2 linked regions of the Rattus norvegicus genome follow. The protein of the gene in region 1 interacts with the protein of each later gene in a pairwise test. Links are inferred from orthologs where the notes say so. Each region holds a gene or a part of one and is shown in the gene's direction. Other genes may lie near its edges. The genes, in order: Tox4 and Fndc3b.

Region 1 (11,991 bases):
TAAGCATGTTTCTGTGGAATTTTTCCATAAGCATTCAAGTTGCATTTGAAGAAAAAAACCCTACGACTAGTATGTATCTTACACCCATCTCTAAAGTTACCTTTCAATCATTTACTCTCCACTTACCAGCTTTTATCGTTTTTCATATACCATGACTTCAGACAAAGGTAGCGAGAAGTTAACTTTTTATTTAGAATACCGAGACTGTTAGCTTTCTCCTTTCGCAGTTCTGCGAGCTAGCTTTTATCTGTTCTGGGACCAGGAGATAAGCTTACCTATTGTGAGGTCGTGCACAGGCTGGAACCGCTTGTCGGTAAACTGAAGGAGGAGACATGACTTCCCCACACCTGAAAAATAACGGTGTGCATTAGATGCAGGTCACCCAGGAAGCCGCAAGCTCCCAGGAGGGGCACAGGGTCTAAGGGAGGGGCAGAGCCCCGCCCCCGGAGCTCGCCCCGCCCCCTCCACTCAACTCCGCTCGCCCCGCCCCGCCCGCAAGCCGATTTTGGAGGTAGGATCCCCGCCCCAGCCCCGAAGGCGGTCCGTTGGCGGGTTACCTGTGTCTCCGATGATGATGTACTTGAAGAGATAAGCGTAAGTCATGGTCCCGAGGTGTCGGTGTTCCGGGTCCTCCCGATTTCCACAGCCACTTACCTCCGACCTCTCTAGCCGCTCAATCTACGGATCTCCTTATTTGCCTCCACTCCAGCCCTTCTAGCTCAAGCTGCGTCTCTATTGCTCTCCCCAGAAATCTTCGCCGGATCCCGAATCCAGGACACCGCCTCTAGGGCCGCCCCATGCTCTTCTACATGCCATTATCCCACCAAGCTCCAGGGGGCGACAGCGACCTTCGGGCAGCTCGGCTAGCGACTGGTTGCGTCCCTTGACTCGGTCCAATCACCGGAGAGCGACGCTACTCCTTGAGGAAGTGACGCTCTCGGAACTTAGTGGGGGCGGTGGGAGCGATGCGGACGCGGAGTCGCTGAGACGCTGGTGGTGGTGTTGTGAAGATGGAGGTAGGGGCTAAGTCTGGAGGGTTAATGAGGGTTCGTGGCCGACTGGTGGAAGCAGAAGCGAGAATGCTGAGGAGCGAGGGGGGCTCGGGAGTGCTGGGAGGACTGGAGTCTCAGCACGCCCCTACTCCGCTCACTTATCCCCGCGGCTTTCTTTTGGTTTACAGTTTCCCGGAGGAAATGACAATTACCTGACGATCACTGGGCCCTCGCACCCTTTCCTGTCAGGGGCCGAGGTGAGCAAAAGCTGCTGATGCTGGGGCGCCGGAGGGCCTAGGCAGCGGTTGGGGTGGACGGTGAGGTGAGCGCGGGGGCTGGCGGGAGCTGAAGGGGGACAGTGTCCGAGGCTTCGAGCACCTCTAAGGACTGTGGACGGGGGAAGAACGGAAAGCGGCTGTCATCAGAAAACCAGGATGTTGAAAAAACAGCCTATTTCCTTAAAGAGTTTCTCTGTTCCGAGTAGAAAGAACGAATGGAATTGTTCTTTGGTTGGGGTGAAATAATTAACAGTCTTGGGAGACAGCAAGAAAAAAAATTTTTTTCAGTAAAGAAATCAAGATATAGAAAGTAGTTTATCTAGCAGGGATTAACCTCGGACAGTTGTTAATTCTTGAACTCTATGTTGGTCTCTTTCATTTGAAAGGTCTTCTCTGATCGAAGTGGTTAACCTTAACTGACGTGGCTTCTGTTTGCTTTGCTATGGAAGGACCGAGGGAAAGAGATAGCTGCTAGAGAACATAAAAGGAGTAGAGAGCACTTGTTTCCCAGTTTCCTGTTTCTCTTCACAAACTGATTACTTCCCCCTTTGGATTACAGTTGTCAAATGACCATAATAAGAGGGTTTGTTTGTTTTGTTTTGCTTTTTAAAGATGGTGTAAAGTAGAAAATAATGGTTGTCAGAGGTTCTAAGGCCTTCAACAAGGGTCGCCTAAGACCATGGGAAAACATGCTTACTTTATGATTCATAATAGTAGCAAACTTATGGTTATGAAATAGCAACGACAATAATTTTATGGTTGGGGGTCACCACAGCATGAAGAACTGTGGTAAAGGGTCCATGCAGCATTAGGAACGTTGAGAGCCACTTCTCTAAGATATTCTGAAAAACTTTTGGTTGACAGATTCTCCTACTATAAGCATAATAACACTTATTTGGGCAAGCAGTGTATGAAAGTGTATAAAAGGTGCAGTGTGGGGTTGGGGATTTAGCTCAGTGGTAGAGCGCTTGCCTAGCAAGCACAAGGCCCTGGGTTCGGTCCCCAGCTCTGGGGAAAAAAAAAAAAAAAGGTGCAGTGTATGAAATTTTCCCATTTTTTGAGAACTTGAGCCAGGGTCCTTCTTTTGAGGATTATATACTACCCCCCCCAAAGTGCTGTGAATTCATTTGTATGTTTTTTTGCACCAAAAGTAGTTGTCCATTGCCTTTGTGTAGGTTTATCCTATGGTTGAGAGATGATTGACAGTAAGTAATTGCTAGTTTGCTTTTGGGTTGTTTTTGTTGTTGTTGTTTTTTTTTTTTTTTTTTTTTTTTTTATAAAAGACAGTCTTACATAGCTCTGGCTGTCCTGAAACTCACTATATAGGCCAGGCTGACCTCAAACTCAAAGAAATCCTCCTGCTTCTGCCTTTCCAGTAAAGAATTCTTCCCATTCAAAACAGAACTCTTTTCTGGGATTAAAGGTGTGCTCTCCTGGCTGCTGGTTTATTTTTTCAACTTATTATTATTGAATATTTTCCTAAACAAAGGGATGGCACAAATGAATGGCAAAGTTAGAAAAGAAACTGAGTCTTGCACTTGGTGATTTTATTTCGAGTTCCTTCCAAGAGGTCTTCTATGGTCTAATTTCATTGTTTGGAGTGCTGTAAGTCACACTGTCCTTATTTATAGGAAAGTACATTTTAAAAGTAAATACAAGGCTGGGTGTAGTGTTACACATCCATAATTGTAATCCCAGCATTCGGGAGGCAGAAGCATGTGTGTATCTCTTTAAGTTCCAGAATTACATAGAGAGACCATGTCTCCGAAAAGGGAAAAAAAGTGAACACAGCTTTCCAATTTTTCCTACTAGTCTTGTGTCTGAAGTTGATCAAAGACTAACTCCATGAGTGATGGCACTTTTTTTTTTTTTTTTTACAAGTTGCACAAATCATTTATTTTTATAAAGGCAGAGAAGGGAATAGGAAAGTGAGTGATGGCACTTTTAACATCCAGGGACTAGGGAGAGAAGCACTGGCCTACTGTGTGCTGGACCCTTGATCCAGCACTGGCAGAAAAAGGAAGGATTTTCCAGGCTTGTTCCTGCCCTTTGTTTTGTTTTGTTACGGCTTGTGACGTTTCTGTTGAGAAGAGAGGACATGCAGCTGAGTTTTAAGCTCCATTTCAGTAGCCTCCTTTAGGCCTGGACTCTGTTCTTGTTGCTTACAACTTGTCCACCTACTTGTTTCTGCCTCTCAGTGAATTTTTAAACTTTGTTTTCGTTTTGTTTAGGGGGAATTGTTTCACTTGGCTGACAGCAAACTTGCTGTGTGACTAGGCTGGCCTTCATTTGCCTCTCTTCCTGAGTCCTGGGATTAAAATATATACCGCCATGCCTGGCTTTTAACCTCTATGCTAATGAATGTATGGGTTTTGTGTTTCCAGCCTTATTTTGAGCCATCACAGACAAGTTAAAAAATAGATGATCCTTTTAAAGCAATTCTTTCTGAAGAACAGTCATTTTTCAAGTTTGTTTGGTTTTTGTTTTTATATTATCAGAAAGAAAATGCCCCTATGGAGCATAAAATAATAGAAAAAAATTGGCTGTGTTCCAGTTAAGAACTTATATCAAGGGGCTGGGGATTTAGCTCAGTGGTAGAGCGCTTACCTAGGAAGCGCAAGGCCCTGGGTTCGGTCCCCAGCTCCGAAAAAAAGAAAAAAGAAAAAAAAAAAAAGAACTTATATCAAATACATAATTATAGGGGCTGGGGAGGTTTTATGTGTATGGGTGTTGTGCCTGCATCTATGTCTGTGCACCATGTGCCTGGTGCCCGTGGAGGTCAGAAGAGGGCAAGAGATTCCTCTGGGTCTGCATTTATACACATTGTAAGCCACCATGTGGGTGCTGGGAATCCATTTCTTGGTCTTCTGGAAGAGCAGCAAATGCTCTAAACCACGAAGCTCTAAGAAACTATTCTTTAAAATAATAGATAACTGGGATATAGGTCAGTTTAAGGGTTTTTGCTTAGTAATGGGAAGATTCCGAGTTTGAGCCTCCAGACAAAGGGAGGAGGATAGAGAAGCACCAGGAGGTAGGATGAGGAGAGGGGAGGAATGCTAGTTTTCATGCTTTGTGTGTCTAAGTGTGCATGCAGAGGACAGAAGGCATCTGATCTCCTGGAGTTAGAGTTAAAGATAGTTGTGAGCAGAGCGGGTGCTGAAACTGAGTCTGTGTCCTTTTCTAGAGCAGCAAACGTTCTCAACTGTTGTCATCTCTTCTGCCTTCCTTCAACCAATAATCATCTTTATTTTTATTTTTAATAGCATTTTATTTTATTTACTTACTACATATGTGTTCACATGTCCTGAAGGGGGATGAGGGGTGGAGGGCAGGTGAGCGCACGCGCACGTGCTCTCTCTCTCTCTCTCTCTCTCTCTCTCTCTCTCTCTCTCTCTCTCTCCCCCGCCCCCATCATCTCTCTCCCTCCCTCTCCCATTAAGGACCAGGGATTGAACTCACGTTGGTAGGCATAGTGGCATGCACCTTACCCAGTGAGCTATCTCACTAGCTCCTTGGCATCTTTCTTATAAATGTAATCCTCAAACTGGCTTTTCCCTCAAAGAAGCCCAGAGTCTAGGAACATTTAGACTAAGGGCATTGCCCCTGGAGTGCTAGGACTAAAGGTATGTGCTGCCACACTCAGCTTGGTTTTGTTTTCTTGAGATAGGGTCTTTCACAGGATGGCTTGAAACAAACTATACAGCCCTGTCTGGGTGGAAACTCATGGTCACCTCCCTGGCTCCGTCTCTTGCAGGCTAAAACCAGTGTGCAACATTGTTCAGACCATAGGCTCTATTTTTATAGATAAGGAAAACCTGTTCAAGGTCATGAGCTTGGTGAGCCACAGCTCTTTCTACAAAGCCTCTTGCTTGTTACTTAAAACATTTTATTGCTCCAAATGCTTCTGTTTCCGTTTTTTAGTGCCACAAGGAAACTGTCTAATATATCGTAGTATATTTGCTGTTAGTTCTGGGAATAGTGACCCCATTCAGAATAGGGGTGAAGTTGGGTGTAATGACACGAATTATAATTCCAGCAGTCAAGAAGCTTGTCATTTAAGACAAGGTCTTTAAAAGAACCTGGGTGTCATGGGACATGCTTTTAATCCCAGCACTAGGGAGACAGAGGCTGGAGGATCTCTGTAAATTTGAGGACAGCCTAGTGTACAAAATGAGTCCTGAGATAGCTAAGGCTATCTACAGAGACTTTGTCTCAAAGAACAAAGAGATACAAAGATACAGAGAAACTTTGTCTCAAAAAACAAAAACTAAACATAAATAAATAAGTGAAAGAAAGGAAGGAAGGAAGGAAGGAGCGGGTAGAGAGAGGAGAGAAAAAGAGGGTAGAGTGGAACAAACCCAAAACCTAGAAAGGATTGATTTTATAGTCTGACTTAGGAAGGGACCAGTCTTTAGCCAGGTGCACTAATCTTTCCTCCTTGTTTACCTTTTGGTTTTTTAAACAGGGTCTTACTGTGTTGAGTGAGGCGTGCTGGCCTCACTTCACTCTGTAGCTCATATCCATCCTCTTTTTATTATCATGTACTAAGAATTGTGTTGCTAACACTGAAATAATGGTAAGGTCCTAAGAAACTCTTCAGTGCAAATATTTCAGAGTAGGTAAGTTTTCCATGGCTTTATCTTTTAGGATTTGCTCTAAATGAACCCTAGAACAACAAAGTGATTGGTTGGTGAACAGCGAATTTCTGTGGTCTAAAGTTGTAACCATTGTGAAATAACTGGCGTCTGTTAGCATCGGTAGTGGATATTAAGCATCGTAGACGGTTTCCTTCTTTGTGCTGACTTTACTAGAATAGGAGAAGTAATTTAAGACAAAGCTAGCAAAGGCTGAAGAGAGGAAATAAATGACCATTGTGAATGGTGTTGGATTCTCAGGTGTATGACATGGCCACAGATCTGAAGGTTAAAAAGAGCTTTATTTGTAAACCGTGGTCTACGGAATCTTGTTACAAAGTGATGTATTTCTCCTCTTCCTACTAATTCTTTCCCCATTTTTTCATGCAGACATTCCATACACCAAGCTTGGGCGATGAGGAATTTGAAATCCCACCTATCTCCTTGGACTCTGATCCCTCACTGGCTGTTTCAGATGTGGTTGGCCACTTTGATGACCTGGCAGACCCCTCCTCTTCCCAGGATGGCAGCTTCTCAGCTCAATACGGGGTCCAGACATTGGACATGCCTGTGGGCATGACCCATGGCCTGATGGAGCAGGGCGGGGGGCTCCTGAGTGGGGGCTTGACTATGGTAAGAAGTAACAGAGGGGTAAGCTCACCCAAGCTCATAGGAGTGGTTTAAGGAAGACAAAAGTTAATCCCTATTGCCTGCTAAACATGGGTGGTACCTCTTTCCTAGTGTTATAGCTAAAGACTGAACGACAAAGACTTCATTTTACCTGATTGCGATTTTCTTGAAAAAAATAATTTTAAATTGTAAAATATCCAATGTTGGATATTCTGTAATGAAAATTATTTAAGTTTTAAAAGGGTTTTGTTTTTCGTAATAGCCTTCATATTCTGGAATTCTAATGTGTAAGTGTCGCATTGAGTGATTTATTAAAAAATGGGCTGAACCAAATATAGCAGTTGTAGACTCTAATATAAACTTTTAGGGTATCCAGCAGTTCGTCAGTAGCACGTCTCCATCTTATTGTTTGATAACAGACATCTGTCTCCACTTCAGCTTCTCTGCTGTCATTGCCCATGCATTACAACTTCAAGAACTGTTATTTCAGAAATACAAGTGGGTTTAGCCCCTCACACTCAGAGCTTTCACCATCTGGCTCTTATCTCCCAGTGTTGGAGTTCAGGGCCGGTAACGCCAAGCCTGGCCCCTAACATGTTTTTTATGCAGACAGATTATCTCCTGTTCTGTAGGATTTAAATGATGAGAGTCTACATAAGCCCAGGGATTTATAAGGAGGGGACATTGTATTTTAATACTTAGCGTTTAATTAGTCCTTCTGCTTCTCTCAGGACCTGGACCATTCCATAGGAACTCAGTATAGTGCCAACCCACCTGTTACAATTGATGTACCGATGACAGACATGACATCTGGCTTAATGGGACACAGCCAGTTGACCACTATTGATCAGTCAGAACTGAGTTCTCAACTTGGTTTGAGTTTAGGAGGTGGCACCATCTTGCCACCCGCCCAGTCACCTGAGGATCGTCTTTCAACTACTCCTTCACCTACCAATTCACTTCATGAGGATGGTGTTGATGATTTCCGGAGGGTGAGGCCTTCCCTGCCAAAGTAATTTCTGTTACTCTAGGGAAATGCTTGTCATGCAAAGGCCAGTCATCTGTCCTTGGTTCTGGGTTCCCATCTCAATCACTGTCCTTAGTGAGCCTCAAGTAGGACGTTCAGAACCATGGCTTCCGTTTCTCTTAGATGCCACGGCTGTGTGTGCTCACCCCCACCCCCCGACTGCTGAGCCATCTCCAGCATAGTTTGCTCCTATCAAACCCTTTTTTTTTTTTTTAAGATTTATTTATTTATTATATATAAGTACACTGTAGCTGTCTTCAGATACACCAGAAGAGGGCATCGGATCTCTTTACAGATGGTTGTGAGCCACCATGTGGTTGCTGGGAATTGAACTCATGACCTCTGGAAGAGCAGTCGGGTGCTCTTAACCGTTGAGCCATCTCTCCAGCCCCCCAAACCCTTTTCTTAAAGGTCTCCAGACCCAGTTCTTCCCTTCTGCTGACTTTTTTTTTTTTTTTTTTGGTTCTTTTTTTCGGAGCTGGGGACCGAACCCAGGGCCTTGCGCTTCCTAGGCAAGCGCTCTACCACTGAGCTAAATCCCCAGCCCCTTCTGCTGACTTTTAATTCTCTCCATTTTTCTCCGACAGCAACTTCCTGCCCAGAAGACAGTGGTAGTGGAAACAGGGAAAAAGCAAAAGGCTCCCAAGAAGAGAAAAAAGAAAGACCCTAATGAACCTCAAAAGCCAGTCTCTGCGTATGCACTGTTCTTCCGAGATACTCAGGCAGCCATCAAGGGACAGAACCCAAATGCAACCTTTGGGGAGGTTTCCAAGATTGTGGCTTCCATGTGGGACAGTCTTGGAGAAGAGCAAAAACAGGTGAATTGTGGGTAGTAAACATCTTTAAGTGGACAGAACCTTATTCAGTACTCTGTTCGTGTGGAGACATCATGATCACAGCAACTATTTTTTATTTAATCATTTTATGTATGAGTACTCTATCTGCATGTACACCTGGGAGCCACAAGAGGGCATTGGATCCCATTACAGATGGTTGTGAGCCACCATGTGGTTGCTGGGAATTGAACTCAGGACCTCTGGAAGAGCAGCCAGTGCTCTTAACCTCTGAACCATTTCTCCAGCCCACTTTGGTTTTTTTTTTTAAGATTTATTCATTTATTATATATAAGTATACTGTAGCTGTCTTCAGATACACCAGAAGAGGGCATCAGATCTCTTTACAGATGGTTGTGAGCCACCATGTGGTTGCTGGGAATTGAACTCAGGACCGCTGGAAGAACAGTTAGTGCTCTCAACCACTGAGCTATCCCTTCGGCCCATGAGAAAACTCGTGTAAAAGAAAGCATTTAATTGGGGCTTGCTTATGGTTTCGGAGGTTTAGTCCATTCTCATCATGGAGCATGCAGCATAGAAGTAGCTGAGAGTTCTACATCCTGATCTGCTGTCAGCAGAAACAGGGACAGTGGGCCCAGCTTGGCCTTTAGAACCTCAGTGCCCACTTCCAGTGACATGCTCCCTCCAACAGGCCACACTGCCCAGTCTTACTCAAGCAGTGCAAGTCTCTGGTGGCTAAGTGAGCATTCAAGTGGCGGGGGGGGGGGGGGGGGGGGGGGACACGACAATTTTTTTTTAAGATTAATTTATTTTTAAGATTTATGTGTGTACACTGTTGCTATCTTCAGTGGACACTAGAAGAGAGCATGGATCTTATTACAGATGGTTGTGAGCCACCACGTGGTTGCTGGGAATTGAACTCAGGACCTCTGGAAGAGCAGTCAGTGCTCTTAACCATTGAGCCATCTCTCCAGCCCATGAGGGCCATTCTTGATTCAAACTACCACACATCTTTACCTGTCAGAGGGCTCTTTGTTAATGGCATAAACACATTTGTTTTCCATACAGGGTTTCTCTGTATAGCCCTAGCTGTCCTGGAATTCACTCTGTAGAGCAGGCTAGCTTAAAATAGAGGTCCACCTGCCTCTACCTCCTGAGTGCTGGGATTGAAGTTGTAAGTCACCACTGCCTGGCTCACACATTTTATCTTAGAAGATTCAGGAAAAAAAATCATTTTAATTTGGTTATTGTTGTTGTGCTGGATAACAAACCCAAGGCTTTATACATGCTAAGTGTCTGTTCTCTTCCTGAGCTAAATCTCTACCCTAAAAATCCCAACTGTACGTGGGACTGCAAATTGGCACCCACTGTGTAAAGGCATCTGATGATCTTGAACCCAATATTCTTCATGGTGAAAGGGAAGAATTACCTTGTCCTCTAATCTCTACATGCATACCCAAGAGCATACGCATGTACACACAGAATAAGTAACTAATAAAATTTCATTATGAAAATACTGCATCTTTCCAAAGCTGTAAAATAATTCTCCTTTTACTAATGGTGAATTCTGCCAGGTATGGTGATGCATGCTTTTAATCTCAGGAGGCAGAGGCAAGCAGACCTTTTGAGTTTGAACTAGCCTGCTCTACAGAGTAAGTTCCAGGACAGCCACGGCTACACAGAGAAACCCTGTCTCAAAAAGAAGAAAAAAAAAGAGAGAAGGAAGGAAGGAAGGAAGGAAGGAAGGAAAAGATATAAAGAGGGGTTCTGAGGTTCTCTGCCCAGTTAAGGTCATAGAGCTTCTAAATGGTACAGTTGGGCAGCCTTGTCCCCTTAACTTGAAATTCCACATAACATCCAGTAGTGCCTGATTTCTCTTCTGCTCTTCTGTCTTTAACTGTTCAGTTTTTAGGCTAACTTTCCAAAGCCTTGTGTTTTTTCTATTTGTAAAGTTAAGATATTTCTTGGTAAGTTACACGTTGAAACTGTCCCTCAAAGTTTCAGGTATAGTTTCATTAATGGTATTCTCATCAAGTGTAAGCTTGAAAACTGTGTGTGTGTTTTCCCTTGTGTCCTTGTGTGTGTGTGTGTGTGTGTGTGTGTGTGTGTGTGTGTGTGTGTGTGTGTTCCCTAGATTCAAACAGAATTTTAAAAAAATCAACTGGTAATAGTGGCATATGCATGTAGTCCCAGTTGTACTTGGGAGGGGAGGGCAGGGTCGAATAGCTATTTGGCGTCAACAACACTGAGACACATATACACCATCTCTTTAGCCTTTAGGAAAGAGAAACTGCTGTGGTTCTAGCACTTAGGAGGCAGAGGCAGAGGCAGAGGCAGAGAGAGGATCATGAGTTTCGAGGCTAGCTTGTGGAGTATGTGTGTTGACGGGGGTTGAGGGTATGAATCATCAAGGCATGTAAACTGAAGATAGCTGTAATTATCATTACCCTCTGTGCCTGTATCTTCTGTCAAAGCAAATCCTCAATATCTAAACAGAAGGCTGACTTTGTTTTAAGCAGACGATGGAGTGTGGCTGGCTAGAGCTGGCAGATACTTCCGTCCATCTGTTAGTTGCTGTGTTGTTATTCCTTGTAGCCTTTCGTGTGGCTTTGGGGCGTTTTGTTTTTTAAGACAGGGCTTCTGTGGGATCCTGGCTGTCCTGGAATTGGCTTTGTAGACCAGGCTGGCCTCAAATTCATAGACATCTAACATTCTAATGATCAAACAAGTCACAGAGATAGCCCAGATTCAGTAACAGGGAAAACAGCCTTCAGCTTTGGTGTGAGAAGAGACATACAAGAGGTAAGGACTCTCGCGGTCATCGTCGACAGCTTACACATGTCCTAGGGGAAACGTTCCTGAGTTGGGCAGTGTTGAGCTAAGTAAATTATTGGAAATGGTTTTACACTTTATATGACCATGGAGCTGTTCACCTCCGTGAGAGGTTGAACTGAGTTCCTGATGGACAATACACTTACCAGACTTAGCAGGGGTTCATCTGAAACACTCTTTCCTGTAGGTGTACAAGCGGAAAACTGAAGCTGCCAAGAAAGAGTATCTCAAGGCACTAGCTGCTTATAAAGACAACCAGGAGTGTCAGGTAAGGTTACAATAAATACATGCCTTAAGGCAATTACTTTTTTTCTAATTGTTACAGGTAAATCATTCATACACACACACGCACAATCACTTTTAGTTTATCCATTATTTCCAGTGTTTACTTAAAATATTTTTCCATGATAATTTTTCATGTTGTGATGAGAATGAATGTGCGCTACAGTGGAGAGTAAATTACTTGCTGCCTTTTTGTTTTGATCTTTTTTTTTTTTTAGGCTACTGTGGAAACAGTGGAATTGGATCCTGTGCCACAGTCACAGACTCCTTCACCACCTCCTGTGACTACTGCTGACCCAGCATCTCCAGCACCAGCCTCAACGGAGTCCCCTGCTTTGTCCCCTTGCATTGTAGTTAATTCCACGCTTTCATCTTACGTGGCAAACCAGGCATCTTCTGGGCCTGGAGGTCAGCCCAATATCACCAAATTGATTATTACCAAACAAATGTTGCCTTCTTCTATTACCATGTCTCAAGGAGGAATGGTTACTGTTATCCCAGCCACAGTGGTTACCTCCCGTG
Region 2 (11,991 bases), on another chromosome or scaffold:
GTGTGACTGTGAGCCACTGACCCACAGAGCTGAGTTTTTAACTGATTAAGTTTGAATCCCGAGAGCCTCACGTGGCTACCATACTTCATCAACTCATGCTGCCGTAGCAACACCTCAGGAGCTCCAGCAGCCTGTGTCTACCCCGTATGCCTTCCCAGCCTGCAGCACCGCACGGCATGCCTTCCGTTTATGTGTAGGGTTTTCCCTCTTAAATCGACTCTTCAGCTAATGTGTAAAATCCTGTGGACCAGGCTCTGAACACCTTTTAGCAGGGATCGTTCTCTTGAGCCTGGGAGGAGCCTGATGCACAGATGATTGCCAGAGCTGGAAGGAGGGGGAAGAGAGGGAGGGAGGGAGGGGGTAGGGAGCAAGACAGAGAAAAGAGTACTATAGAATGAATTTGTGTGCTCACCTGTATTGGTAAGGTCTACCCTGAAAGGAATATGTCCTTCCCCATCCAAGCTCTTCTCCCTTAGCCAGAAGGGGGCACCATGAGCTCAGGAGCCCGCCTGTCCCCTGTTGCACTGTTGTTGGCAATGTGTCAGCTTCCCAATCAACTGGCTTGCTGGTGACAAATTTATTGTTAAATAAAATGTTTACAGTGCTGTCGACTTTGTCATAGCACAGTTGACCAGAGCCAGGCTGAACTGCAGTGTGACAGGTGACGGCTGCAGTGTGACAGGTGACAGCGCACTGAGCTTTGGATGCTGCGCATGCCAAGGGCCTCTGATACTCTCTCAGCAGTGGCTGCCAGACTCCTGCTGAGGAGGAAGCCACCATATAAAGTCCCGGGCTCCTAGGAATCAAGGCCCTGATGTTAGGGTTCTAATGTCTCTCTCTGGTTTGGTCTTTCCAGGATAACCATTTCCACCCAAGATACACTGGAGAGGACCTAACCTGTACTGTGAAAAACCTCAAGCGCAGCACACAGTATAAATTCAGGGTGAGTCTTCCTGTGTGAGCGCTAGCGCCAACACTGTGATGTCCCCACTTACGGTTCAAATGGAGTCTGCAGGCCAAAAGGGGGGATAAAATAGACAGCACTTTGAGAGTAGCAGTGCACTATCAAAGACCCACCATATTTTAATTTGGAAATAGAGGTTCTAGGCGGAAACCCGTGTAAGAAGATGTCACAACGGGTTGTCATAGCAAGGATCTGTGCACCGCTGGGAAGACCCTGAGCTGATGCCTGTGTCCCTGCACCCACTGCAGATCCGCCCCTCCCTGGGTTTTACAGCTTGTACTGTCTTTCCAGCGCCCTCCGGCCTTTCTGCTCCTGTTGCTGCTTTTGTCTTCTGTGTCCCATCCCTTCCTCAGCTGAGGTTCTCAGCCTTCCTGATGCTGTGACCCTTTAATACCCCAACCATAAAGTCACTCCCACTGCTACTTCATAACTGTGATTTTGCTCCTCTTACGCACTTTCTGATGGTCTTAGGCAGCCCCTGCAGAAGGGGCATTCGACTCCCAAAAGGGCTGTGACCCATAGTTGAGAGCTGCTGGCTTAGGCGACCTTTGCTCATAACCAGTCACCACTTACATCACAGTACAGATCTATGTTGCAGCTACAGAAGTGCAAGCTGCTGCTTTGCTTTGCTCTCAATGCTTTTCCTTCTACACCACAGTCCTTCGTCTGTCCTATGCACGGCACCCAATTTCCTTGTGTGCCCTGAGGAGTCTCCGCCCTCCTTTCTCTAATTTTAGGGCTAAGTAATTTAATTTGGCATGTAGTCACTTCAGTATTTGTCAAATTATCAAGTGGAATGTTGTGACTGACTATTTGAGGCATATAATTGTTTCTTGCTATGCTAAAAATACCAATCTTGGCTCCTGGAACACAGCTAGCTGTACTACTGATGGTGTCCACAAGATGGCACTATCTGACTCTTCCATAAATAAAGTTCTGTCTGGTTTATCCCTGTGTTTTCTTTTCAGCACACAGCACAGAATAAATGGAAACTACTGGTTCTATATATAGTACCACTGCAGCGGCCATCTCCTCCTCCTCATCCTCCCCCTCCCCTCCTCTTCCTCTTCTTCCTCCTCCCTCCTCTTCCTCTAGTGAAGCACTGTCCCCCTCTATTCCAGGAGTTCCTAGAACTTGCTGCATAGCCTAAAGCCATAGGCTTCAGAGTTACCATCCTCTTGCCTCAACCTCCCTGCTTGTACCCTAGGCTTATATTTGTTCTTGGAAGGATATGCAGATGTCTTTAGCTGAAACCTACCTTTTGGTTTTATTTTTAATTGTTAATAATCAAATATAAGTAGATGAAGTAATCACAAACACTTAAATCAGCAGCCTAAAGAAAGCACACACGTGACTGGGTGGATATGTGTCAGTCTGTCCATGTCTAACTTGGCAGTGGTCCCAAGTCCCAGGAGACATGATAGCCCATAACCAACATGTGCTAACGTCTCCTCTGCAGCTGACTGCTTCTAATACGGAAGGGAAGAGCTGTCCGAGTGAAGTCCTGGTTTGTACAACCAGCCCCGACAGACCTGGACCTCCCACCAGACCCCTCCTCAAAGGACCCGTCACGTCGCATGGCTTCAGTGTCAAGTGGGGTATGTCTGTCTCCTGCCCTGCTATGGCCGTGACAAATCAAACACAAGTAGAAAATATCACCTCTGAGGGCTTTGTGCATCTGTTATACATGTGTGAGGACTGGAGGGGACAGCTGAATATTAGCAGGTAGTCAGACTTTAGTAGACCTCTTAAGGGACCAGTTTCAGAGTTACTGTCCTCTTGCCTCAACCTCCCTGCTTGTACCCCAGGCTTATATTTGTATCTCTTTTATTTCATATTTTCTATGTTACATTTTTCTCCTTTATTTTAAATGTTTTGTTAATTTGAGTTTGAGAATTTATGATAATTCATTCCTTAATAGCTCACTTTTAAAAAAACAATGAATTTTAATATAAAATATTTTTAAGTTGAGATTGGATTTCAAATCTAGATATGTAATCCTGAATAGATTTTTTTTAAATATACAAAATGTTTCAGTTATAATAAAATAGGAGACGTTATTTCTGTGCTGCCTGCAGTGCACCTGCCCCCTGCCCCCTCCTCTACTCGTGAGTTTCAGGGTTTTCAGCCCGACTGAGGTCACCTGGGAGGACACTGACATTCAGCTCTGCAGAGCATGGAGACGCATGTCACCGCGGTTGTAGCACTTTTAATCATGTGTAAAGCTGTTGGGACACGTGTGCTCTGCACTGATGTCCTGTGAGGATATGAATGAGTAGCAAGGGAAGGGCAAAGCAGGAAGTGTCAGAGTCGTAAGGGACTGAGCGCAGGGCACAGTAAAGCATCGCTCTTCCTTGGAGACCAAGTGTGCTGTGCTGAGGTTCCAGAGGGCTCTGACGTCGGTTTCTCTGGAGGACAGGGATAGGCTGTCCGGGCTGCCTGGGGTCCGCCCTGGCTGCCTGCCTCCCAGGAGCCCCCTTAGCTCTGTGCTGGGTTTGTCCTTATCACGACTACTGTACATGTTATTACTGAAGTGTGTGTGATAAATGCCCACCTGGGAAGAGAGCTCCACAAATCCATGTAACATCAAGGCCTGGGAAAGCCCCCTCCGTGTGCAAGGACGATGAATTCTTTAGTTTGACAAAAATCATTCTGCCTGGTATTTGTATACTCACAAAGCAAAGCCCTTGCAGTTAGACGTGTCTGTAGACCATTGATCCAAGGTGGCATGGGGCTCTGCAAGCAGACCAGGCTGTCCCCCCAGGGTGCCCGGTGCAGGTGCTGATTACTGTGTTCTGCATCCAGACCTGGGGAGGTAAAGTTTGCTGGGTAGAGAAGTGAGGTAAGATGGTTACTCCATTCCAACATTTAATTATTTTGTCAGTGCATTTTTTCTCTACCCTTTTTCTTTTTTTTTTTTTTTTTTTTCGGAGCTGGAGACTGAACCCAGGGCCTTGCGCTTGCTAGGCAAGTGCTCTATCACTGAGCTAAATCCCCAACCCTTCTCTACCCTTTTTCAAAAGCATCTAGTTGCTCATAAACATATGAAGTAAGAATAATAAAACAAGATAAATACCTGAATATTTCAATTTTCCATAAAAGTCGCCCATTCTTAAAGAGCCACTTCAGATTTCTCCAGAGTTGCCATTTTTAGGAAAATCATTCCTCCTGTCAAGTTTTATGCGTGTTTCACTAAGTCAGTGCCAACTCTTATTTCAATAACCTGAAATAGCAGCTTGATAAAATTCCGTTTCTTGACATTGAGGGGGCCAGTTGGGGGGAGTCATACCTGTAATCTCGGTACTGGGGTCAGGGTGGGGTACTGACACAGGAGCATTCCCAAAACTTTGAGGCCAACCTGAGAGAGCAATGCTGTCTCAGGAAAAAACTTTAAGGGGCAGGGTTCTTGAAAATGATGAGTTGTGCTTTTTGGCCCACTTCCAGTGGAAGGCTGATTAGTGGCTGTCCTTTTGCACTCTGTAAGGATGCTTACCAGTGACACCCAGTGCCCTCCTCACTAATGTTCACCTACTCTGCAGATGCTCCAAAGGACAACGGTGGCTCAGAAATCCTGAAGTATCTGCTGGAGATCACGGACGGTGCTTCTGAAGGTGACACTTTGGAAACTGTATTACACAATGCCTTCCCACCCAGAGTCCTCATCCTGACATGGTCAGGCCCTCTGCAGTAGCTGCAGCAGCCATTAGTTCTAACAGTAGAGCTAGTGGTGTAGTTAAGCCACACCAAGCATTGGCATATCTGTCTATCTCTCCTTCTGCCTATTTCCCTCCCTCCCTCCCTCCCTCCCTCCCTCCCTCCCTCCCTCCCTCCATCCCTCCCTCCCTCCCTCCCTCCCTCCATCTAACTGGAGTTTGATTGGCAGCTAGTTTCCCTTCTTAAGCATCCTCAGCAAGCTCTCTACAGCCAACTCTGCCCCTAAGTAGGGTTTTGTCTTTCAGACACCACAGTTCATTCTGCTTGAAGTACCCATTTTTGACAAGCTAGTGTTTGTTTCTGTTTTTGTTTCTATTTTCTATGTTCATTTTGAAACAATGGTCACTCATTAATAGAGAAAATGAACTTGAGGCCTCCCCCTGAATGCCACACACTATCTGGGAATTACCAGCAGTGTGTCAGCAGTCATCTGCCTGGCATCCTGGCCCTGCCCAGTGACAGCCACATCATAGTGTGGCCCCGGACGTGTGTCAGACTTCCAGAACACACTTGGGCTCTGTTGTGACTCTGGAGTCAGAGTTCTCATCAATTGTCATACTACAAGTATTAAGATGGGGCTTGCCAGCAAGTGTAATGGCCTGTGTTGAATCCCTGAATCCCGAGTGAAAGTGAGTAGAGAGAACCAGCTCCCAGACCCGTGTGCCGCAACATACATGACTGTGCACATGCACCCTCACCACACATGCAGCAGTAATTCAAACGGGGTGGAGTAAGGGAAGAAAAACTTCAGGGCCCATAGAAATTTCTCTTGCTTTTTCTTCCTAAAAACTCATTGGGCTTCAACATAAAAATATATGGTGGTCAAAACTTTCCAACATAACTAAATTTTTACTAATATGGCTTCTGTAATCATTACTTTTTTTTTAAAGTGCATGCATATGGCAAAAGAGAGAGTCACTGGGAACAAGTGGAAATTGTCTCTAGCTTGTTCTGACCCCACGGCCACCTGGAGGTAGGGTTGTTTTTAACCCTGTTAGGTATTATTTTACACCAGAAAGAGGAGAATTCTTTGAGATGGGTGTAGCTGTTCTTAACATAAAATCAGTTTCTGTACTAGAGACCGTATTTAATGTCTAATTAAGACGAGGAGAGGAGTCAGCACCCCCAGTTGCTTACTGAGAAAGTGAAAGTCCGCTTTCCGCTGCCCTGGCTCTCCCAGGCAGTGACTCAGTGCAGGAGTAGCTGCTGTTTTACACTGATAGCCTGGCCAGAATTCCCGGTTCCCGTGGGCTCTATACTAACTGGGACCTAATAAGGCACAGTACCACAGGGCAGTAATAAATGTCTAACAGGCCGCTGAAGGGATTTGTGGAGGTTACTCTATGAATAGGATAGGGTGGGCATATTTCCCCTCAAACAGCTCTTGTAGGAAAAGGCTTACAGGGAGTGGTCAACTGGAAATGGCATCAATGGGAGCTAAACAGTGAGAGTCACCCCTGCAGCCTGCTGCTGATGCGGGCAGTGGAGGACAGCCTCCAGGCGCTTCTCCCACTGAGCGTCAGCCTCCGGGGGCACCCTCCAAGTATCTCACCACTGGTCTCTCACCCCCACCACAGCTTCATGCATGGCCTCCCTAGACACAGCAAGCCCTTACCAAAGACCTCTGTCTGTAAAGGGACTCATGGCCACCCTCAGAGGCACCTGCTGCATAGCTGGCCCCGTGGCCACCTCAGCATGGCTGAGCACAGCTGTGCAACATGATCTTTGTACAACTCCGATGGGATGTGGCTTCCCACACCTGACTTCGAAGCCAATGGTGTTATAGTGGACTATAGGAAATGCCTCTGTGCGATTCTGTGTCGGGTGATGCCGGGCTGCTGTGGAAGCCCCTTGGTGTTTTTGTCTCAGATGCTGTCTCTAACAGGGACTCTCGTGCTGTTACAAAAGGCCTAAACTTATACACATCTCATTTTGCAGCTGGTCAGTGGGAAGTGGCCTACAGTGGATCAGCTACAGAGTATGTCTTTACCCATTTGAAACCAGGCACTTTGTACAAACTGCGAGCATGCTGCATCGGTACCGGTGGGCACAGTCAGGTGGGTTTATCAGTGTGACAATGGAAATCTAGATCAAAGTGGGAAGTGTCCGTCAGTAATGCAGAAGAGGTTGCAGTTTTAAATGTTTCTCGTTGATGTGGCCAGCTTTAGTATCTCATCTGGCTGTGAAAAAGTCTCGACTTACAGGGATATAAGAAACATAGGCCTGAACCCTTCTCTGCACATTCTGATGTGAACAGGCCATGTGTCACTGACTTAACCCTTCCATGACCTTGATGTAGTTACGTAGGGCAGGTGAAATTAGTTAGGATTTGCATTAACCAAATAAAGGAGCTCTCCATCATTTCAAGGAGGGAAAAGTGAATTTAGAGTCAGGATCAGACCTGCCTGGCTGTACTGGGATGGTACCGCATCTGTGAAGGTCCCTTACTGCCACCTGCTGGGAGACTCTTGTAAAGACAGGATAAATCTGATGAAGTTGCTTGCACTTCTGCAGTTCAGTAACTCCCTGTGCAGGGCCAGGAGGCAGCAGCCATGACTTGTCTCTGTCAGAATGGCTGTAGACCAGCCAGGTGGCACTCCAGGGACTCGGTTTATGCCACACGCAATGCTAACAGGTTTGATGTAATCTAATCAGTGCACACAAAGTACTCTAGAGACGAGAGTCTGGGGGTCTTATTGACATCGTGAGAGAGGTACTGTGCTAGAAGTGTTGTTTTCACTGTAGACAATTTGAAACCATTAATGGTGAGAGAACAAGAAAGAGAGATGGTACCTAGTAAGCCAGTAGCAGATTGATAACATTTTCCTGAATTTTACACATACACAAGCATTCTGCCCATGTGTGTCATAGCAGTTCCTCAGTGTCTAGAGTTTCGTCTAGACAGAAAGACACACACATGCACGCGCACGCGCACATACAGGATAAGAGTCCAATTAGAACACATATAGAATCAGTTAGAAAATGTATAGAGTCCCGGGGGCTGGTGGAATGTCTCCCTGTTGGAGTAGATGCAGACTGAGGCCATAGTGCATCAGTGGTACCTGCCTGTGCATGGTTGGGCAGGGCAGCATATGCATCAGGTGGGGACATACGGTCTATTTCCCACACATGGTGCCCTGGAAGGAGCTGGCGCTGTCTGGCTCCATCTTGTTTCCTCGATTCTCTTACAATGGTCAACTTTCACCCCACCAGTTTCTGCAGAGTAAGATCCTACAAAAAGGAGGCCCAGTCACTTTAGCATTGGCAGATCTGCTTTAAGAGCCAGGCTCAGTGGGTAAATGCCCCCTTTACCTGCTGTTCTGCTCTCCCTGTGGCTGCCCAGCCATTTAGAGTATCATTCTTAATTCTGTCCGGTTGTTGTGTGTTCTCTTGAATCCTCATGAGGGTCTTTCTAATGTTGCTGTAAAGGAAAATAAGAATGCTTATGGCAGGCAAATAGTCGGCTCTAGTAATCTGACATCAGAGAGAGCTGCCTTAGGTATAACCACCACTATGTGCACTGAGAGCCCACACTTCCACATGCAGACAGGCGTGGGCCCTCCTGAAGACCTTAATGCATGTCAGCACACACACTAGTGTGTAGTTCCCTTTGGTCCCATTCACAATTGTGGGATAGAATTAGCCTGGTAGATAAGGTGTGAGCGATTCACAGTAACTAAGCAATGGTCTCTCCGGTGTTTCTCCCACAGTGCTCTGAAAGTCTCCCTGTTCGCACACTAAGCCTTGCACCAGGTCAGTGCCGACCACCGAGGGTTTTGGGTAGACCAAAGCACAAAGAAGTCCACTTAGAGTGGGGTGAGTGAACAAATCTTCACGTTGGCATCGACCTGGACAGTGGGAGACTGATGGCGCTCTGCCACTCAGCTCCAAGGCTTCGTTCAGAAGCTGTGTCACCCATTGATCATGTTCTCTATAGCATGGACTGTGGCTCTCTCATCCCACAGCCTTCTAGGCTCATCTTCCATGCCTGACAGTGCTGCACTTGCTGTGGCCACCCTCACCATTAGCAGCCATGTTTGTAGAGAAAATTCCAGAGTAGCCTGCCTGTCTGGGGGTTGTTCAACATGTAAAGAAAATGTGTCTAATTTAGAGATTAAACCAAGAAATGTTTCGAAGAGCAGCATCAAGCTCCTACTCTCTGCGGGCTCTGGTATTTTCCTAGCCTTGCCTTAACACCACTTCAGTTGTGCCAACAGCCTACCAGTGTGCACATCGCAAGTGCACATGTGTAGAACACGGGCAGACATTGTGGCCACACTTACATCTAAAGTGTAATAAAATGGTGTGTGAGTTTGAGGTCGTGTAGACTTAGCAGGATGTGTGACTTCAAGTTACAGATATTTTTCTTTCCTTCCTCCCCATTATTAACTGTGAAAGGTTGTCTGGTTCTCCTGTTGTCCCTGAATTATTTGTAATATAATCAGGCATGTTTAGATGCATTTACTTTGGGTCCTTCGAATCATTCAGGAGCCTTTTCACTTAAACAGGAGGCTCCTTTTGTAATAGAAACTCAGGGACACGTCACTTAAATATTTTGAACAATAACAGTAGAAAACCAAATGTAACTCAGTCAAGTAGGAATCCAGCACTGGGGCTGGAGAGAAGGGTCCGGGGTTAGAGCACTCGCTGCTGCTGCAGCAGAGAAGCAGGTTCAGTCCCCAGCGACCGCGTGGTGTCGACCGCGTGGTGTCTCTCACCACCTTTAACTCCAGTCCCCAGCGACCACATGGTCTCACTCCACCTTTAACTCCAGTCCCCAGCGACCGCGTGGTGTCTCTCACCACCTTTAACTCCAGTCCCCAGCGACCGCGTGGTCTCTCACCACCTTTAACTCCAGTCCCCAGCGACCGCGTGGTCTCTCACCACCTTTAACTCCGGGCTCCGAGGCTTCCGGGCCTTCTTCTGCCTCTACACATGGTGCACACTCATGCATGCCCAAGCACTCATACCTGAATAAAAATAAAATTAAAAAATCCAAAAAAGTGTTCAAAGATGAAAATGTTTTTGTCCTCAGATGTGCCTGCGTCTGAAGGTGGCTGCGAGGTCTCAGAGTACAGTGTAGAAATGACGGAACCTGAGGAGGTAGCCTCAGAGGTGTACCACGGGCCCGAGCTGGAGTGCACCGTTGGCAACCTGCTTCCCGGGACGGTGTACCGCTTCAGAGTGCGGGCTCTGAATGACGGAGGGGTGAGTGTGCCTCGGCTGCCAGTTAGAGCACAAGGTGCAACTCCTCAGCGGTGTGAGTGTCACTGCCTGACCACTGTCCAAGTAGATAAAACAAAACCCTCATCTGCGAATCGCTGGTATCACGCTGCTCTGTGGGCCCAGCACTGCCAAGTTTGTCTCTCGTTCTTTCTATGAAGTGTGTGTGTGTGTGTGTGTGTGTCTGTCTGTCTGTCTGTCTGTCTGTCTGTCTGTGTGTGTACCTGTGTGTGTCTGTATGTATCTCTGTGTGTCTGTGAGCATTTTTGATAAATCATGAAAGAATTTCCTATTCTTAGTAACTTCATTTGTAAGAATCAGAGCTTCTGATTAGTCCTGCTAAACATTCCCCAGGGGAACTGGGCAGAGTGAGTCAGGAAACACTTGCCGTATATGAGTTAGAGCTCAAAACCCACATCTTTAAAAGCTAGGCATGGGGAGTCCCACAGAAACCCCAGCACTGTGAAGGCAGAGACAGGATTGCTGGGCCTACTGGGCCTACTACATGAGCTCCAGCCTGGTCTCAGGAAAAGAGGGGGAAAGGGACTGGGAAACAGATTGTCGCCTGCCCTCCTCAGGTACGTGTTCCTGTGTGCACACAACCTTTGAGTATTATAGCATATTGTCTATGCCTGAGGATGCTTTGTTCTAAACAAGTACGGCGAAGCCTGGGGAGGAGGCTGCTTACTTTTTTAAAATCTGATTCCTCTAAAAACCCCATGGTTCTCTGGTTCTTTCTTCTGCTGTCTTGTTCATTTAGTATTTGGGGGTCAGATCAAAAGTTAAGAGGAAGTATGTGGTCCACAGAGGAACTGACTTTTGTTTTCTTTGAAGTAGCAGAGTGATATGGCTTTATGGGATATGAGGGGGTGAAGATGAGGAACAGGCTGCCCACGAAGAGTGCAGAGATGGGCAGAAAGGTGGGACAAGCTAATGCCAACATCTCCTAGAGCCTCAGTGAGTGCATAGATGAATATCATGAGAGCTGTTACATTTCACTAAGGATGAAACTTACTTTTAAAGAAGAAAAAAGCCAATTGACAATCTAAAGAAAAAGCACGTGAGGCCCAAGGACATTCTGACAATCTGTCATAGCAGCGTCGGTTAGCTAGATCTGGTGGGCCTCTCTGTAAACCCCAGCGTCAGGACACTGATGCAGGAACACCGTAGGTACAAGGCTAACCTAGGCTACATGGGAAGACCTTACCTCAAAGTACTGGTGGAGGGTAGGGGAGGCCAGCAACCAGAGCAAACGCCCATGATGCCATGATGTAATAACTAGCTTTCTTCATGTCCTTGACTGAGTGATCCTTACTCCTGATGTCTCATTAAAGGAAAAGTGTGCTAACTTCTTCATCTTTTTTAATAAAAAAACAGACATATATAATAGATGTTTACCTGTCCAGGAAAGATCAGTAGTTTGTCCATATACTTCTTAACGTAAAAAACATTAGCTATTTTCATTCAGTTGCGTTAATGATACTATTGACCTTACCTTTAATTGTGCCTTTATATGCACACACATGCAGAGACCGTTCTGACATGTGAGCACGTGTTCTTCTCTTTCAGTATGGTCCCTACTCTGATGTGTCAGAGATCACCACTGCCGCAGGACCGCCTGGGCAGTGCAGGGCACCGTGTGTTTCCTTCACGCCTGATGGATGCGTCCTGGTGGGTTGGGAGGTGAGTCTGCTGCCCGTCATTTCTGTTTCTCCTGCCTTTGCCCCCAAATATAAGCTGTTAGGATGTCACAAAGCCAAAGCATGTGTGTGCATGTGCATGGCTGCATGCGTGTATACGTGTGTTCATGCGACTTTTGTCTGTATACAAGAAAATCTCGTTTTGACAGTTGGTTGTGTCATTTCCCGTTGTGGAAGTGGTCAGAGTTCAGAGTGGTCTTACCTTCCCTTTATGGGTACTGGTCTATCCTGGAGTATGGTGCTCTCATCTCAGTGAAATGACTAACTACAGACGTCTGCCCTGCAGAGCCCTGAAAGCCCTGGTGCTGACATCTCCGAGTTCAGGTTGGAGTGGGGAGAAGACGAGGAATCCTTAGAACTCATTTATCACGGGCCAGACACCTGCTTTGA

What was found.
Region 2: the proteins of Tox4 (region 1) and Fndc3b interact in binary tests that used the Homo sapiens proteins (3 or more experiments, as listed by UniProt). The two-hybrid records come from large-scale screens. The link is inferred for Rattus norvegicus from reciprocal best matches to the Homo sapiens genes TOX4 and FNDC3B.

The regions. Positions count from the first base shown.
Region 1 is NC_086033.1:27,461,781-27,473,771, forward strand, and holds the start of Tox4 (TOX high mobility group box family member 4), read left to right. Parts: upstream 1-954; 5' UTR 955-1,010; coding exon 1,011-1,016; intron 1,017-1,180; coding exon 1,181-1,249; intron 1,250-6,294; coding exon 6,295-6,537; intron 6,538-7,265; coding exon 7,266-7,526; intron 7,527-8,148; coding exon 8,149-8,379; intron 8,380-11,374; coding exon 11,375-11,455; intron 11,456-11,687; coding exon 11,688-11,991. Other genes in the region: Rab2b (ras-related protein Rab-2B), read right to left, coding at 276-347, 558-603. UniProt on the Homo sapiens protein: Transcription factor that modulates cell fate reprogramming from the somatic state to the pluripotent and neuronal fate. In liver, controls the expression of hormone-regulated gluconeogenic genes such as G6PC1 and PCK1.
Region 2 is NC_086020.1:112,277,195-112,289,185, reverse strand, and holds part of Fndc3b (fibronectin type III domain-containing protein 3B), read left to right. Parts: intron 1-856; coding exon 857-943; intron 944-2,423; coding exon 2,424-2,562; intron 2,563-4,503; coding exon 4,504-4,575; intron 4,576-6,616; coding exon 6,617-6,735; intron 6,736-8,388; coding exon 8,389-8,494; intron 8,495-9,713; coding exon 9,714-9,886; intron 9,887-11,470; coding exon 11,471-11,584; intron 11,585-11,887; coding exon 11,888-11,991. UniProt on the Homo sapiens protein: May be a positive regulator of adipogenesis.